2 linked regions of the Oryctolagus cuniculus genome follow. The protein of the gene in region 2 interacts with the protein of the main gene of each other region in a pairwise test. Links are inferred from orthologs where the notes say so. Each region holds a gene or a part of one and is shown on either strand. Other genes may lie near its edges.

Region 1 (8,597 bases), on a different chromosome or scaffold from region 2:
AGTGCATGGGGGCTGTGCTTGTGTAGAGAGTGCACGGGGGCTGTGCTAATGTACAGAGTGCATGGGGGCTGTGCCGGTGTACAGAGGGCATGTGGCTGTGCCGGTGTACAGAGTGCATGTGGCTGAGCCGGTGTACAGTGTGCATGGGGGCTGAGCCGGTGTACAGAGTGCACGGGGGCTGTGCTAATGTACAGAGTGCATGGGGGCTGTGCCGGTGTACAGAGGGCATGTGGCTGTGCCGGTGTACAGAGTGCATGTGGCTGAGCCGGTGTACAGTGTGCATGGGGGCTGAGCCGGTGTACAGAGTGCACGGGGGCTGTGCCGGTGTACAGAGTGCATGGGGACTGTGCTGGTGTACAGAGTACATGGGGCTGTGCCGGTGTACAGAGTACATGGGGGCTGTGACAGTGTATAGCCTGCTGGGGGCTATGCTGGCATACAGAGTGCACGGGGGCTGTGCCGGGGTACAGTGTGCACGGGGGCTGTGCTGGCGTACAGAGTGCATGGGGGCTGTGCTGGCGTAAGAGTGCATGGGGGCTGTGCCGGCGTACAGAGTACACGGGGGCTGTGCCGGGGTACAGTGTGCATGGGGGCTGTGCCGGGGTACAGTGTGCATGGGGGCTGTGCTGGTGTAAGAGTGCATGTGGCTGTGCCGGCGTACAGAGTGCACGGGGGCTGTGCCGGGGTACAGAGTGCACAGGGGTTGTGCTGGCGTAAGAGTGCATGGGGGCTGTGCCGGCGTACAGAGTTCATGGGGGCTGTGCTGCTATACAGTGTGCACGGGGGCTGTGCCGGCGTACAGAGTGCACGGGGGCTGTGCCGGCGTACAGAGTGCACGGGGGCTGTGCCGGGGTACAGTGTGCACGGGGGCTGTGCCGGTGTACAGAGTGCATGGGGGCTGTGCTGGCGTAAGAGTGCATGGGGGCTGTGCCGGGGTACAGAGTGCACGGGGGCTGTGCTGCTATACAGTGTACATGGGGACTGTGCCGGTGTACAGAGTGCATGTGGCTGTACTGAGGTGCAGAGTGCCTGGGGGCTGTTCCGGTGTACAGAGTGCCTTGGGGCTGTGCTGGTTAAAGCCTGCATGGGGAACCACACGAGGGCCGCTCCTAGGAAGGACATGGCTCTCTGGTTCTTACCGAGGTTCGGCTTGCCGGTGTAGAGCTTTTCATAGAGGAACGTGTGGTCCCGGAAGCTCTGCAGCGTGTTCCCCATGGCTATGATGGACACCATGACCAGCCAGCTCCGCAGCACGTTCAGGAATCGGCTCATGTTGCCCTCGGACCCGAGAGGGCGTCTGCCTTGGGAACAAGGACATGGGACACGAGAAGCCAAGGTCAGTCCATCTCTGCTCTGTGGCTACCTGCGGCCCGTTCACGAGAGCTGCACTAAACTTGGGCAATCACTGCGTGAGCTCCTCTCTAGATCCTCCAGGCTCATGCACCAGTTTTGTTTCTTTTTTTGGTTGAAGTCTAATTAATTTATTTTTACTTATTTGAAAGGCAGAGTGATAGAGCAAGAGCAAGCTATCTTTCATCCCTTAGTTCACTCCCCATAAGCCCAAACAGGCTGGAGCTGGGCCAGGTAGAAGGCAGGTACCAGGAACTCCATCCAGGTCTCCCTTGTGGGCGGCACGAGCCCAAGCAAGTACTTGCCTGGGAGGCTGTTGCCTCCCAGGGCTCACATTTGCAGGAAGTCAGACCAGAAGTGGAAGTAGGACTCAATCCTAGGCACACAGATATGTGACAGGGGTGTCCCAGATGACAGCTTAATCTGCGCCCCGACGTCCACCCCGCTCGGTTTTTTTTTTACACATTATTCTTACTTCCCAGGTTGGCATATTGCCTTTAATATTCACCTGAAGCCAGTGTGCTGACCTTTACTGAGGGTGACAACGACCGTGGGTGGAAGGGACAAACCCAGAGAGAAAAATGTGAAGAAAGGCAACAGAAGTAAAGACCTGTATATGTATTACTATAAAGTAACACAGGGGCCGGTGCTGTAGCGTAGCAGGTGAGCCCTCTGCCTGCAGTGCCGGCATCCCATATGGACGCTGGTTCAAGGCCCGGTTGATCCACTTCTGCTCCAGCTCACTGCTATGGCCTGGGAAAGCAGTAGAAGATGTCCATGTCCTTGACCCCTGCACCCACGTGGGAGACCTGGAAGAAGCTCCTGGCTCCTGGCTTTGGATCAGCATAGCTCTGGCTTGTTGCAGCCATCTGGGGAGTGAACCAGTGGATACAATACCTCTCTCTCTCTGTCTCTGCCTCTCTGTAACTCTGCCTTTCAAATTAAAAAAAAAAAAAAAGTAATACAATGGATTTTGGTGTAAGGCTTACAGAAATTGGCTGCAATGCTTGGTTACACTGATAACAGTCAGTGAACAGTATGGGGCTCTTCAAAAAGTTATGAAAATGTATATTATGATAAAGCTAAGCATGGATTTCAAAAATGTCTTGCACCAAAATAACCCAAAATTTATCTTTTAATTCCATTTTCCATGAACTTTTTGGAGTACATTTGTATAATCTGCAATAAGTGGAACAATACTTATCTTTAAGCAATTTCTTCAAATACTACCGTATATCAGAATTCCTTTCTCTTGGTTACAATCAGTCTTCCTCTCTCTTTACTTTTTTTTTTTTTTTTTTAAGATTTATTTATTTATTTGAAAGAGTTACACGGAGAGAGGAGAGGCAGCAAAAGAGAGGTCTTCCATCCAATGGTTGACTCCCCAGATGGCCACAACAGCCGGAGCTGCGCTGATCTGAAGGTGGGGCCAGGAGCTTCCTCTGGGTCTCCCATGCGGGTGCAGGGGCCCAAGGACTTGGCCACCTTCCACTGCTTTCCCAGGCCATAGCAGAGAGCTGGTTGGAAGAGGAGCAGCTGGGACTAGAACCGGAGCCTTTATGGGATGCGGGCGTGTCAGGCCAGGGTGTTAACCCACTGCGCCATAGCGCCGGCCCCTCTCTTTACTTTTTCATGTCAATGCTCTCCAAAGCCAGGGGCTCACAGGTGCCTGCCTGGTTCTTGATGACAGATCCTCCTAAACCTATGGAGTACAGATTTGCAGTGGAACGTACGGTGTGAGAGCACTATTTACACCCTTACTTTTTTTCTACCCTGTTCCTTAGGCACACATATTCCATAAACTAAAAGAACAATCCAAAAGATAAAAATAAATAACCTGCTGTGACTTTAAGAGAAGGAAGCAGCACTCTTGGTGAGGGCTGCAGGAACCTTGCCTTACTGGGCTTTGTGCCATGCACCCAACATGTGTTATACCATTTAGTATTTCCATTTTACAAACGAGGGTGGGACCAGAGTTAAAGGATTCGCTTAAAAATATTTGCATCAGGGCAGGCATTTGGTGCAGTGGGTAAGGTGCCTGCATCCTACACCGGAGGGCTTGGGTTGGAGCCCAGGCTCTGCTTCCCAGCTCAGCTTCCTGCTAACGCTCACCCTGGGAGGCAGCAGTTGGCCCTAGAACTTGGGTCCCTGCCACCCACGTGGGAGACTCTGATTAAGATCTGGCTCCTGGCTTCAGCTTGGTCCAGCCTCTGGGCTACTGTGTGCATTCGGGGTAGAGACCCAGTGGATGAAAGATCTGTCTGTCTGCCTTTGAAAGAAAATGAAAATAAACCTAAAAAATCAACATAGTATCAAAAATTTTTGCTCCAAATTAATCTTCTAATTTCATTTTTCATGAACCTTTTGAATTTCCCTCATACAGCTGCTATTCCAAAATTTCCCCCGACCTCGTCCAGGATAGCAGGAGCCCAGCCAGGGGCGTTCCTATCCTGCCCCGACCATTCGGTGCTGTGTGACTCAGTTTCCTCCTCTGCTGAATGGGGTTACAAACATCTACCTTCAGGGTGACGGTGAAGGCTCCTCGCACAGTACCAGCTCTCAGTGGCTGCTCATGCCCTCACCCACCCTTCGTTCCCCGAACCCACCACGCCCTCCCCATCTTCCGGGTTCCCCCTCGTCGTCGGCTCCCGAACCCTCTCCCCCACAAAAGAAAGCCTACTAGCGTCTTCCTTCTGTCCCACCTCCGTTTTTCCGGATTCTTCGGATCCTCCCAATCAGATGTCACACGGTCACCTGCACCCTCTTCTCTCCCACCGTCGCCTTACCTGGCAGCCGGACCCGGGCACAGCCGCAGCAGCAGCAAACCAGCTTCCCCAAGACAGCTCCAGCCCGGATTCCACCTGAGCCACTCGTCCCCGCCCCCGTCCCCAGCCTGGCTCTACGATTGGATCGTTCCTGTCAGTCCTCGCTCTGATTGGCGGAGCCGGCTTTGCTCGAGCAGGAGATAGGGAGTGAACCCCTCTACTGCCAATCAGCGGTTGCCGCTGCCTAAGCCTCTCCCCCTGGGGCACCGCTCACGCAGCAAACCCTCCTGTTGATAGTGGCGGAACTCCAGGTTTGGAGTCATCGTTTAAGGGGCGGAGGAGTGGGGGGAACTGAGCGGGAAAGAGAAAGTCAAGAGTGCTCTGTGCCGAGCACGCGGCTCTGCTCCCGCGTCGCGGGGCGGTGACGGCATCCGTCCGCGCCGCAGCCCAGCGTGGTCCGCGCCGGGTGGCGGGCGCCTGCGCAGTGGCTCCGAGCGGGCGGTTGCTTGTTGGTTGTTGTAGTAACGGGGGAAGCAGCCGTCGGCAGCCGCGGAGAGCCCGGCTGGGAAAGGAGGAGGGAGGTAGGCGCAGAGCGTGGTCCCCACTTGCGCGCCGGAGCCATGGGAAGATGAGACAGGTAAACGCCGGCGCCGGCGCGCTTCCCTGCCGGAGGGAGGTGCGCTCCCGGCCCTGGCCGCCGCGGTCGGCTGCACTTCCCCCTCAGAGCCCGGGAGCCGCTGTTGGCTTCCGGGCGCGCTGGGCTGGAGGGTGGCGGCGGGGTCGCCCCGTCCTTCCCGGGGAGCGCACCGCCGACCCGCTCGGGATCGGGGTGCGCTGGGGGTGGGGCCGAGGGCCGGATCCCCGGGGAGCGAGGGCTCCCAGTCTGCAGGCAGCTCGGGGAAGGTGGGCATCCCCTCCTCGCTTGGAGGTTCGCTCGGTGTAACTTACGGGACTTCCCAGCATTTGGGAAAGATGGAGAGATTCCACTGGGCATCTCCCGCAGAGGAGCCACCGAGGCTGTTAGGGATTGCCCGTTACCCCGAAGATCTGCAGGGGTCATTAGCGGGCTCGTGTGTGTGTGTGTGTGTGTGTGTGTTGGTTTTATTTGCAATCTTATATACATGAATGCACAGAAAAATAGAGTTTGGAAAGATTGACATCAGTTGCCTACCTCTGAGCAGTGGGATTGCGGTCATCCGCACATTTTCATTTTACAGTTTGCATTCCCTTCCCTGTCAGGTATATCGGACATAATGTATTTCCCCCTAAGGAAAAATATATTTTCAAGTTAGAACTGCCGCGTTGGAAATTCTGTAATTGTAATGTGCCTTTGAGATTCAGATCCAAGTTTGTGATTTTCAGTAAGAGAGAATGATTTTTAAGAATGATTTTTAAGAGTGTTTGGAAGGGCAGTGCCCCCCCCCCCCCCCCCGTTATTGATTCAGGAGAACATTTTAATCTTTTGGCTCTGATGTGGAATTTGTCTTAACTGAAACATGATGCCATCTCCCGTGTGTGCTTGTCATTGAGTCTGAATAAATATTTGCAAAGATCTTAAACCTTGAGTTCTTATTTTTAACCCAGGCCAAGTTTAATTGAGGTCATAGCAAGGAATCAGCCACCTCCCTAAGGTTAGATTTAGTACATGAAAGACAAATGAGAAACTCAAACTTAATAAGAGCTTTTCAAATACATAAGAGTCCAGAGAGTATATCTGAAAAACATTTCCGATTTTTGAGCCGTGTGTGAGGCACCATGAAGGTAAGCTAGAGCTCGGGTACTGCTTAGGAATGGGTTTCTTTTCGTTGTTTGGAAGATCATCAGCGGTAACTGATAACTGCACAGCTGCACTGTGTGTCAGAGCGATCCACTTCTCTGCAGGAATCTGTGCCACCCAAATCGTCTGATCCAGTGAGTCTGCAAGGAAAGGTCTCTGAGGCCCCTGTCTGCTGACTGCATGACAAACCCCAAAGGAGATGCCCGTCGTGATGGCCCGGGACCTGGAGGAAACAGCATCGTCCTCGGAGGATGAGGAGGTGATCAGCCAGGAGTAAGTACCGCGGGCCTGCCTCTGACCTCTGGCCTTTAGAATGGGAGTTAGTTTTCTTTTACTCAGATCCTCTTTTATCCGGTATCCTTTGGTATTGTCTGACTCTGGTTTGAGCTTCTATCCCAGACCTTTTTAGTCCATTCCCAGTGGCTGTTAGAAATGGGATAATAAGGCTGTGTTTCTTTCTTTTTTTAAGATTTGGTTATTTGAAAGGCAGAGTTACAGAGAGAGGGAGAGATAGAGAGAGAGGTCTTCCATCCGATGGTTCACTCCTAAATGGCTGCAATGGCCAGAGTAGGCTGATCTGAAGCCTGGAGCCAGGAGCTTCTTCCAGGTCTCCCATGTGGGTGCAAGGGCCCAAGCACTTGAGCTGCCTTCTACTGCTTTCTCAGGCCGTGAGCAGAGAGCTGGATCAGAAGAGGAGCAACCAGCACATGAACCTGCTCCCATATGGGCACCAAGGCTGTATTTCTCATAAGTGAACATCAGCTCTAGATAGATGTTGTGAAATGCAGATGGCAGCTCTTGGTGGACTCTTGATCAGAGCTCTTAACATTGAAGATGTCACACTTTTTAGATATTGAAGAAAAGTAGGTCACCGAACTGTGGCATTGGTTATGTTGTGCTAATTTTCTCAAATGCCTTTATAACGATAGAGTGGTGGTCATGTGGAGAGGGCAGGTAAGTTGTCAGGGCGTCTCTGGGCAGGGCATTAGAATCCTATAGCCTAGGCCAGCACCGCGGCTCACTTGGTTAATCCTCTGCCTGCGGCACCGGCACACCAGGTTCTAGTCTTAGTTGGGGCGCTGGATTCTGTCGCAGTTGTTCCTCTTCCAGTCCAGCTCTCTGCTGTGGCCCAGGAAGGCAGTGGAGGATGGCCCAAGTGCTTGGTCCCTGCACCCTCATGGGAGACCAGGAGGAAGCACCTGGCTCCTGGCTTTGGATTGTCAGCCATAGCAGCCATTTGGGGGTGAACCAATGGAAGGAAGACCTTTCTCTCTGTCTCTCTCTCTCTCACTGTCTAATTCTGCCTGTCCCCCCCCCCCCCCCGCCAAAAAAAAAAAAAAGAATTCTATAGCCTATGCTGTGTGCCTCAAGCCACGTTGCTTCCCTGAGTACTTTGAGGAAGGAGTCGAGTTGTTTGATTGCTGGACCCTCGTACGAGAAATGAGAGACAGTGATCAGCGCCACTGCTGAAGACCATGGCAAGGCCTTTAACTCACCTGGGCCTCACTGAATCTGAAGACCAGACTGCTTCCTCCTCCTCTCATTTAATCTGAAGAAGTTATCGTTTCCACTTTATTAAGCTCACCTCAGAAATATCAGGATCCTGTCTTAGAGACCCATAGAGAGTAAGCAGTGGATTGAGGCTCAGACTTAGCGTTCCCAGATTTTGGAGCATTTTCCTATTTCACCTCCTTTAATATTACTGCTTGACACAGAAGAGAGTCCGGTTTAAAGTTCAGACTCATCTTTAGTTCTCCGGGAGTTCTTTTGGATTTTGTGTGCTGTGTGACCTGACAGACAGGGCTGATGTCTGGCAGGCTGTTGTGTAGTGGTGTGATTGAGATCCAAAGAATAATGTGTGAAAGTACCCTGTAAATTACGAAGTCATGCAAGTAGAAGGCAGTATTGTTACTGGCTTAGCAGTGAATTCATGGCAGACTGATTAAGGTGGAAAGTTACATTAATGTAATTGGAAAAAATATTGAAGCATTCATAAAGCTTTGAGGGAAGATTTCTCATCACTTTTAGGTCTTAGAGAATAATGGAAATTTGACAGTGTATTTGGGTCGTTCTTGTTCGGGATAATTAAATGGGCAATTCCCTCTGGTTCCTTTGCCTTGTGACTTTTTGTTTTCAGTGCACTGCCTCTTGCCCATTTTGCAAAGTTTTTAACTTCTGTAGGTGTCAGTTTTTCCATTTTAAGATTGTTCTTTCACTGTGTTACTGCTTCTCATATGTGGGCTTAAGAGGCTGGGCCCACCAAGTTTTAGACTGAACTATGCAGTTAGCATTTGGGCAGGTCAAGACGAACCCAGTGTTGGCGATGCAGATGGTTTGACCTAGTGTCAGAGCAGGGACGCAGTGAACACTTGCTTGGCTTATGGACTGAATGGATAAATGAAGGCTTTCCACTTTAGCCTACGTTAGATCAGAGGTTCTTAACCCTTTTATGCCATGGATTCCTTATTGGAAAGATTATTTAAAAATTTTGCTTATTTATTTGAAAGGGAGAGGCAGAGAGATAGAGATCAGATCTTTCATCTGCTGATTTACTTCCCAAATGTCTGAAATAGCAAGGACTGTGGGTCAGCCCAAAGCGGTGAGCCGGGAACTCCATCGGGGTCTCCCATGTGGGTGACAAGGACACAGTACTTGGGCTGTCACCTGCTGCCTTTCAGGTTGTTTGATAGCAGAAGCAAAGTTGG
Region 2 (8,552 bases):
TCTGGAAAGACCTCCCTCTGGGTAGCAGGGAAATCCATGGCCGCTCCGAGGCCTGTTTTCTGCTTGACACCTCTCTGCCTCCATCCAGTGTCCTTGCTAGTCTTGGTGGTGGTGTGGTGGAGGGGTGTTGGCCCAGGGCTGCAGCTTGGGGAACTTTTTGATGCGGGCAGGGTAGGAGTTGGAAGCAGACCCCTCTCCAGGTCTGAGGGCTGCATGGCGCAGAGCACCCCCCCAACTCCCGCAGAGGGAGTGGATTTATTGCAGGTGTATGTTGAGGGGCAGGGAAACAGAAGGGTGAGTGAGAAGTCTGCTAGTGACACCTGCTTGAGGTCGGAGGCGTGGGGGAGAACACGCAGACACGTGCACACACACACATGTGCACACCAGCAAAATCCAGCGCCCCTCCCTCCCACGGGGGGGTTCTGTGTATTCCTCGCCAGCGCCTGGGTGCAGGCCTGCCTACCTTCCCTCTGTCTCTCCCTAGCTCAGCCCCCTGTCCTCCGCCAGCAGTCAAGGGTAGCCAATGGGCCGCCCCAGCCTCAGGGCAGGGGCTCTGCGGGAGTGTGGGGGGGGGGCTCCCCGCTACCCTTGAGACCCTGAGACCCCCGAGGCCAGGGCTGTGGCGCATGTTGCAAGCGACTGCTCTGCGCTGGGGTCAACTTCGGACTGGGAGGGCTGGGCTGGCGGAGGGGCGCGCTCAGGCCTTGCTGCCCCGCGGCGGGCTCTGCGGCGAGTGCAGCTCCACCGACTGCCGCCGCCGCACCTCGCGCTCCTCCCAGTCGGCGTCCGGCTCCAGCCCCTTGAGCACCGCCAGACGCTCCGACAGGCTCTTGGCTGAGGGGAAGAGTACGTAGTTGTAGATCAGCGAGCCCAGGATGGCGCCAACCAGGGGTCCGACCCAGAAGACCTGCGGGCGAGCAGAGAGGGGACTGGCAGCGCGCGGGGAGCAAAGGGGACCCCCTCCCGCCGCCCCGCCTGCCGCCGCCGCCACGCACCGGGTGGTGAGGGTGCGGGGTCCTGGATGCGCTGCCTGCGTCGAACTGTGATGCCAGCCCTTTACTTGGCCTCTCTGAGCCTGTTTGCTTTCACTGAAACAGTGCCTGCCTCCTAGGATGGTCGTGAAATGGCTCAACAGCAGCAAAGTGCTTAGAAGAAGGCGCCGCACAAGCTCAGAACCGCGTGCGTGCTCATCAGTCTAAGAGCCGCTGTCTGCTGAGCTCCTGGCGCCGGGCACCCTGTTACCCAGGCAGCCTAACTCAATTTCCCCAAGAGCTGGTGAGGTGCCCACTTGTCACGCTGTGGAAACGGCGTCTGAAAGGCCGACCCCAGGAGGAGGAGGAGGAGGAGGGTTGGGGCACTGCAGCAGCTGAACCCCTCCCCCCACCCCTTCCAGCCCTTATTCCCCTCTGAAATGGGTTTCTGGGGAAGGGGCAAGGGAGGTGGTTTCTGGCATTACCCAGTGGTCATCAAACTTGCCGGTGATGACAGCGGGGGCCAGGGAGCGGGCAGGGTTCATGGAGCAGCCGGTGTAGTAGATCTGTCATGGGAAGAGGGGGTGTCAAGGAGAGTGAGGTGAGATGGGCCCAGGGGGGTGCCTCCCTTTCCAAAGTCTTTAGGGTATATGGGAGTCAAGCCCTCCAGGCCATCTGTCCCTCTGGGGTTCTGTGTAGGGCTGTGACCTACCCCGAGGAGGTGGCCCAGGGTCACCGAGAGGCCAATGGAAAGGGCAGGGGTGCCCACGTTGTCGCTGCGGCGATCGTCGGTGGAGGCAAAGATGCAGAGCACCAGCTGCAGCGTCAGGAAGAGCTCCACGGTCACAGCCTGCCCAGCTGTGGCATTGTTGCTGAGCTGGGGACAGAGGGGGGGGCAGGCTGAGCACGCTCCCCCTCCACCTCTCGCCCCCACCTTGCTGCCCACCTGCAGCAGAGGCTCCAGGGAGGCCTCTGGGCTGGGAGCCAGAACACCTGGGCTGGCCTCCCGATGCCTTCTTCCTGGGCCCCTGCCTTTGGTGAGACGCCAGGGCTGCCTGTGGTCCCCAGGCCAGAGGTGGGAAAACTGACTGCCCGGCCCCTTAGGTCTGGGCGCGGACCCTGTGCCTGCGTCTGCAGCATGAGCGCAGAAGCGTGCTCAGATGTGGTTTTGCTTTCTGAAGAACAAGAAGGGAAGAGGTTTCCATGGCTGCAGGGGGCTTTGGACAGGGACAGGAGGGCCCTCCTTGCTCCCTAGTTGGAAGACACTGGGGCAGCCAGAGGCCTGGAGTCTTTTTTTTTTTCCTGTGGCCAAAGGGCTCCCAGGAAGGCGGTCCAGGAACTTGGGAACACTCCTCACCATGGCACTGTCCCCTAATCTTCACCTGCTGCACCCTGTGGGCTTGGTCCTGTGCAGGTCAGGGTGAGGCCACTGGAGCTGTCTATCGCGGTGTTGGTGCACCACGTAGGGGGGCCCGCAGTCCCAGCAGACCCCGCTGTGGGTAAGGTGAGAACTTGCGGCTGAGCGAAGGGAGGCAGTTTCACAACCCAGCCACACCCTTCACAGGATTTCTCCCGGGTTCTCCTCCTGGCCTCTGCGCCTTGCCCTCAGGGGCTAGGCCCTGTGTGAGGGGAGCTGCATGGCTCTCAGCTCCCACGTTCCTTCCCCTGGCCCGAGCCCCTCCCCCCCAACACCCAGGTCCTCATGGGCAGGCTGGTTCTATAGCCTCAAGCTTCCTGCTGATATCCACCGTCACAGCCTCTAGGGGACAGAGAGAAGAGCTTTGGAGGCCTCTGGTCCATCTAGTTATGTTGGGGACAATGAAGCAGATTTGGGAGGCCTCTGAGGACTGGCAGTGACAAGGGCAGCGCCCTAGCTGTCCTGCTGCTGGCAGGTGGCGGCTCTGCGGGAGACAGCCTGGACATGGCTATGGGGTCAGACAACTCTGGGTCCATCGCCGGTTGCTGCCACCTGCCACAGCGGTCCTGTCATTTGGGCCGTTTGAATGCTGAGCCTCTGTCACGTGGGGAGACCACAGAATTTACCTTACGGTGTTGGACGAGGCTGAGACGGCACAGGGCAGATGCACATCAATAGCAACTTCCTGGTGGCCAGGCTGCCTCTCCCAGAGGACAACAGGGACAGGCTGAGGGCGAGTCAGCCCCACCGCTGCCCCCCAGCGGGTTCTCCTGGGGGTGGGCCCACTGAGGAATAGCTGGCAGGAGAGCCTCCCAGACCTTCCCTGCTGAGGCCCCCACTCAGCTGCAGAGAGAGGAGCAGGGCTGGGGGCTCCAGGGCGCCCCTGCAGAGAGGGGCTTGCTGGGGTGTTGCTCTCAGGAAGCCCCTCTTTCTGTCCCACTGGGGCTCCGCTTGCTGCTAATGGCGCTAACTTCGCACTCAGTGGAAATCGGCACCTGCTCGGTCGGCCAGCTGCCTTGGCTGCTCTGGTGTTTTCTAAGCCCTGGATCCCCAGCCTCACCATACTTCCCACTCTGAAGGGGAGAGAAACCCCCGGGGTGCAGAAAGACCACTTGTGCAGGGCAGGGCGTGGCCATGGAGGCTGGGCTGTTTGCTAGAAGCCCAGGGATGCAGCCAGCGAAGAAATGCGGGGAACTGAGGCACAGAAGAGGTGATTGCTGTTCTGGCTTGGGGCAGGGGTGCAGAGGGCATATTGCATGGAGGGGAGCGCATTCAGCCCTCCCCACCCATACCTCGCAGATTGGGGGCGGGGGAGTGAACCGCGCTACCCTCAGCTTCCTAAGAGCCCAGGCTGCCCACAGCCTCAGCAGCTGCCTCCCACAAACTTCTCCAGCATCCAGAGGGAGAGACCCTACCCCTGAAGCGTTCCTGCACCTGCTAGAAGCTGAAAGAGCGTTCCATCTCTCCCCTCTGGGGAAGACTGCACGGCTGCTGTGCTCTGGGGACCCTGCCCCTGCTGAGCCCCAGCCCACGTGGGCATGGAGTCCAGCAGAACCCTCGACGCTGCTCTTCCTCCGCGGGCCCCCGGACAGAAGGTACCAGCAGCCCTGTTTTCTCCGCCGTTTCTGCTCTCACACAATTGCCCCTTCTGCTGGGCTCCTGTCTAGAGCCTCATCTTGGTCTCTGTCTCTGTCTCTGTCTCTCTCTCTCTCTCTCCACCCAGAGCCACCTGCATCTCATCATTCGCCAGGGGTGGCCCAAGGTCCACCCGCCGTGGACGAGGGCGAGGGTCCAGCTGTACTCACGGCATTGACAGCCAGGTCGCCACGGACCTCGGCCGGCGTGATCTCGTGGAGCAGAGCGGCCCCGGCCACGGCCCCCAGCAGCTGGGCAGCCACGTAGAAGGCAGCTCGGAGGAAGGAGACGTGGCAGCCCACCAGGCAGGCCACGGTCACGGCAGGGTTGATGTGGGCCCCGCTGACGTGGCCCAGAGCCTGCACCAGGGTGCCGATGCCCAGGCCAAAAGCCATGGCGATCTGCAATGTGGAAGGCAGCGCCGATGGCCAGTTGAGGGCTGAGCCCAGGCCGAAGAAGACAAAGAGGAGCGTGGCCAGGAACTCGGCAAACACCGCCCTGGAGAAGGCGATGGACCGAAGCTCCCACATGCTGCGGGCCCTCCACGGGTCTCCCGCCTCTGCTCCCTCTCGCTCGCTCCCTCTCGCTCGCTCCCTCTCGCTCGTTCGGGGCCTCGGGGGAGGCTGGGCCTATATAGAGTCCCTCGGCCCAGGCCTGGGCACGTGCGATGGAGGCGGAGTTTAGGCCAGCGCCTCCACTGTCCCTGCCACCCCTGCCCCACTCCCACCCCTGCCCACTGCACGCCTATCACCCCATCTTGGCCTTCACAGCTGACTAAAGTTCCCCATTAATGAACTCCAGATAAGGCTTGACGTCCCCTGATTTTCCGTGTTTGTTCCCTCAGTTACCCCAGGCCTGTCGCCGTGGGGCCTCCCCTCCCCCACGCCAAGCTGCGGATGGGAACCCCCGAAGGGGAGGTGGCTGGGGGGAGGACCCCTCTTTCTAACTCAAAGTGGTGGCTAAGGTGCAGGGCACCCCCCAACACACCCACCCCAAATTATGCGCGAGAAATGCCAGAGTCGCCCGTCTTGGGGGTGGATGCCCACCCTCCCCCCACCCTTCTGGAAGGAGATGGAAAACAACTGGTCGGCTTGGGCCAAATTTCCAAGGCAAAAATGCTTGGTGTCTGTTCTGTGCCTGCTTGCTTGTAGTTAATCGCCCGTAAGCCATTAAGCTCTCCCTCCTCCTGGAAGCCCATTCAAGGAGCAGCTCCGGCAGCCTGGAGCCAGCGGTGGCTTCGGGGGGCCTTGGGGACCCTGGCCCTGGCTGAAAGAGTCAGCGGAGGAGTGGGGGGGGGTCAGCTCAGAGCTTCTGTCCCAGCACCACCTTGCTCCGTCTCTGGACTTTGTAAAATGGAGGTGACGCCTGCCTTGGGGCCTTGGGACTCGGCGACATGAAATCCCCTATGACACGAGCACAGAGTGGCTGCGCCTGGCCACGGGTGGAGGCCAAACCCTTGTAGCAGTCGCTCAGAGTGCTGCTTACGTTCTTACGTGTTGGGTTCCCCAGACTCACATATCTGGGGCGGGGGGAGGGTGTCCCAGGAGCACTGGGGGCATCCCCCAGCCCCCAGAGCCACCCATGTCGCCGGAGGAAGACATTTCTCTGGGGTAGTGAGCTGTGGCGATCCAGGGAGGCCAGGCCGCCCAATAGGCAGCTCTCTGGCATGGGTGCCCACCCCTCCCAGGGATACCGCCTCGTACTGGGGGCCCTGCACACCACCAGGGCCTTGGAGGCCCCTCTTCCCTAATCCTTCCAGGCTCGTTCCCTCTCCTGGGGATCCAGAGGCAGCAGTGGGCTTGGGGTGGGATCCGGACAGGCTCTGGATAGTGCTGTAGCTCCTGGCCTATGCACCTCTTTACGAAGTAGAATACCTTGTCTTGTGTCCCAGCCTGAGGCCTGAGGAGTGTGAGTGACTTGGGGACGGTGGTCCAGCAAGTTAGAGGCTGAACTGGAACTGGAACTGGGTCTCGAGAGTTTCCACCACACCCTTGGACTGCTGAATCACACTCAGCCTCAGTCTTCCTATCTGGACAATGGGACTAAAGATGCCTTTCCCACAGAGTTGTTTCTGAGAATGCAAGATGCGAGCATGCACACGTGAACTTGTAACTTCTTTCCAGGAGGAAGAGGAGGAGGAGGGTGAGGAAGAAGAAAACGAGGCCCAACCGAAGGAGAGTCCTGAAAGGGCAGGAGCTCTTGTGGGCGTGTTCTCGGCTGTGTTTCCAGTACCTGAAACAGCAGTGCCACATGGGGACCTGGCCCTGGTCCCAGAGGCTCGGGGAGAGAGACTCAGAACAAGTGTGTGTGTGTGCAGCTGGGGGGCAAAATCCTGTCATGTGAAAGGCATCCGAGGGTCTGGCGCTGTGGTGTAGCGGGTAAAGCCGCCGCCTGCAGTCCTGGCATCCCATATGGGCACTGGTTCAAGTCCTGGCTGCTCCACTTCTAATCCAGCTCTCTGCTATGGCCTGGGAAAGCAGTGGAAGATGGCCCAAGTCCTTGGGCCCCTGAACCCATGTGGGAGACCTGGAGGAAGCTCCTGGCTCCTGGCTCCGGATCGGTGCAGCTCCAGCCATTGTAGCTATTTCGGGAGTGAACCAGCAGATGGAAGACCTCTCTCCCTCTCTCCCTCTCTGTGTCTCCCTCTCTCCCTCTCTCCCTCTCTGTGTCTCCCTCTCTGTAACTCTGCCTTTCAAGTAAATAAATCATTTTAAAAATGCTTTCTTGAAGTTGGAGGCAGAGTCATGTGGATGCACTGAGTTCCATTGAACCATACATTCAAAAATGGTTATGGGAGTGGGGAATAGGGTGCTGTGGCTTAGTAGGCTAAGCCTCTGCCTGCGGTGCTGGCATCCCATATGGGTGCCTGTTCATGTCCCAGATGCTCCTCTTCCAGTCCAGCTCTCTGCTATGGCCTGGGAAAGCAGTAGAAGATGGCCCAGGTGTTTGGGCCCCTGCACCCACATCCACATGAGGGATCCAGAAGAGGCTCATGGCTCCTGGCTTCGGATTGGCTCAGCTCTGGCTGGTGCGGCCACTTGGGAAGTGAACCAGCAGAGGGAAGATCTTTCTGTTTCTCCCTCTCTCTGTCTATAGCTCTGCCTCTCAAATAAATAAATAAATAAAATCTTTTAAAAAATGGTTACAGGGGAGGGGAGTGGCATCGTGGTGCAGCAGATTAAACCGCTGCCTGTGACTGTAACATCCTATATGGGAGCACAGGTTTGAGTCCCAGCTGCTCCACTTCTGATGCAGCTTCCTGCTGATATGCCCAGGAAAGCAGTGGAGGATGGCTCAAGCATTTGGGCCCTTCCTATTTTCAATATGTCTTTCAAATAAATAAAATAAATTTAAAAAACCAGTTACAGGGTACAGGTTTGGCCTGGCAGTTAAGATACTGGTTAAGATGCTCGTGTCCCACTTGGATTCGTTTGCCAGCTCTGACTGCTGACTCTGGCTTCCTGCTCAAGCAGCCGGTCCCTGCTCCCCACATGGGAGACATGGATGGGGTTCCTGGCTCCTGGCTGCAGCCCAGCCCAGCTCTGGTCATATCTGGGGAGTGAACGAGCAGATTGCAACTTTCTCTTTGTCTCTCTCTGTCTCTGAGTGTCGCTCTGCTTCTCATACAAATGAATTTAAAAAAAATTAAAGTGGGGCCGGCGCCACGGCACACCGGGTTCTAGTCCCGGTTGGGGCGCCGGATTCTGTCCCGGTTGCCCCTCTTCCAGGCCAGCTCTCTGCTGTGGCCAGGGAGTGCAGTGGAGGATGGCCCAGGTGCTTGGGCCCTGCACCCCATGGGAGACCAGGAAAAGCACCTGGCTCCTGGCTCCTGCCATCGGATCAGCGCGGTGCGCCGGCCACAGTGCGCTGGCTGCGGCGGCCATTGGAGGGTGAACCAACAGCAAAGGAAGACCTTTCTCTCTGTCTCTCTCTCTCACTGTCCACTCTGCCTGTCAAAAAAAAAAAAATTAAAGTGGTTAAGATGGCATGTTTTATGGTGTGTGTATTTTACCATAATTAAAATATGTAATGTTTTAAAAATTAAGAAAAGGAAAAGGGAAACAGCATAGGTGTGTGGCAGGTAAAGCTGTCACCTGTGACCCTGGCATCCCATATGAGTGCCGGTTCACGTCCCAGCTGCTCCACTTCCTATCCAGCTCCCTGATAATGGCCTGGGAAAAGCAGCAGAAGATGACCCAATGGGGGCTGGAGCTGTGGTGTAGCAGGTAAAGCCGGCGCCTGCAGTGCCGGCATCCCATGTGGATGCCGGTTCGAGTCCCGGCTGCTCCACTTCTGATCCAGCTCTCTGCTATGGCCTGGGAAAGCAGTGGAAGATGGCCCAAGTCCTTGGGCCTCTGCCCCAGTGTGGAAGACCCAGAAGAAGCTCCTGGCTCTTGGCTTCGGGTCAACTCAGCTCCGGCCATTGCGGCTATTTGGGGAGTGAACCAGCGGATGGAAGACCTCTCTCTCTCTCTCTCTGCTTCTCTCTGTCTGTAACTCTGCCTTTCAAATAAATAAATCTTTAAAAA

What was found.
Region 1: the proteins of AQP2 (region 2) and ERG28 interact in binary tests that used the Homo sapiens proteins (3 or more experiments, as listed by UniProt). The link is inferred for Oryctolagus cuniculus from reciprocal best matches to the Homo sapiens genes AQP2 and ERG28.

What each region holds. Positions count from the first base shown.
Region 1 is NC_091451.1:21,646,128-21,654,724, forward strand, and holds the start of ERG28 (ergosterol biosynthetic protein 28 homolog), read right to left. Parts: upstream 4,751-8,597; 5' UTR 4,137-4,750; exon of another isoform or gene 4,031-4,136; intron 1,302-4,030; exon of another isoform or gene 1,298-1,301; 5' UTR 1,273-1,297; coding exon 1,140-1,272; intron 1-1,139. Other genes in the region: tubulin polyglutamylase TTLL5, read left to right, coding at 6,092-6,165.
Region 2 is NC_091442.1:53,292,767-53,301,318, reverse strand, and holds the start of AQP2 (aquaporin-2), read right to left. Parts: upstream 4,640-8,552; 5' UTR 4,554-4,639; coding exon 4,194-4,553; intron 1,849-4,193; coding exon 1,684-1,848; intron 1,538-1,683; coding exon 1,457-1,537; intron 908-1,456; coding exon 698-907; 3' UTR 1-697. UniProt on the Homo sapiens protein: Forms a water-specific channel that provides the plasma membranes of renal collecting duct with high permeability to water, thereby permitting water to move in the direction of an osmotic gradient. Plays an essential role in renal water homeostasis.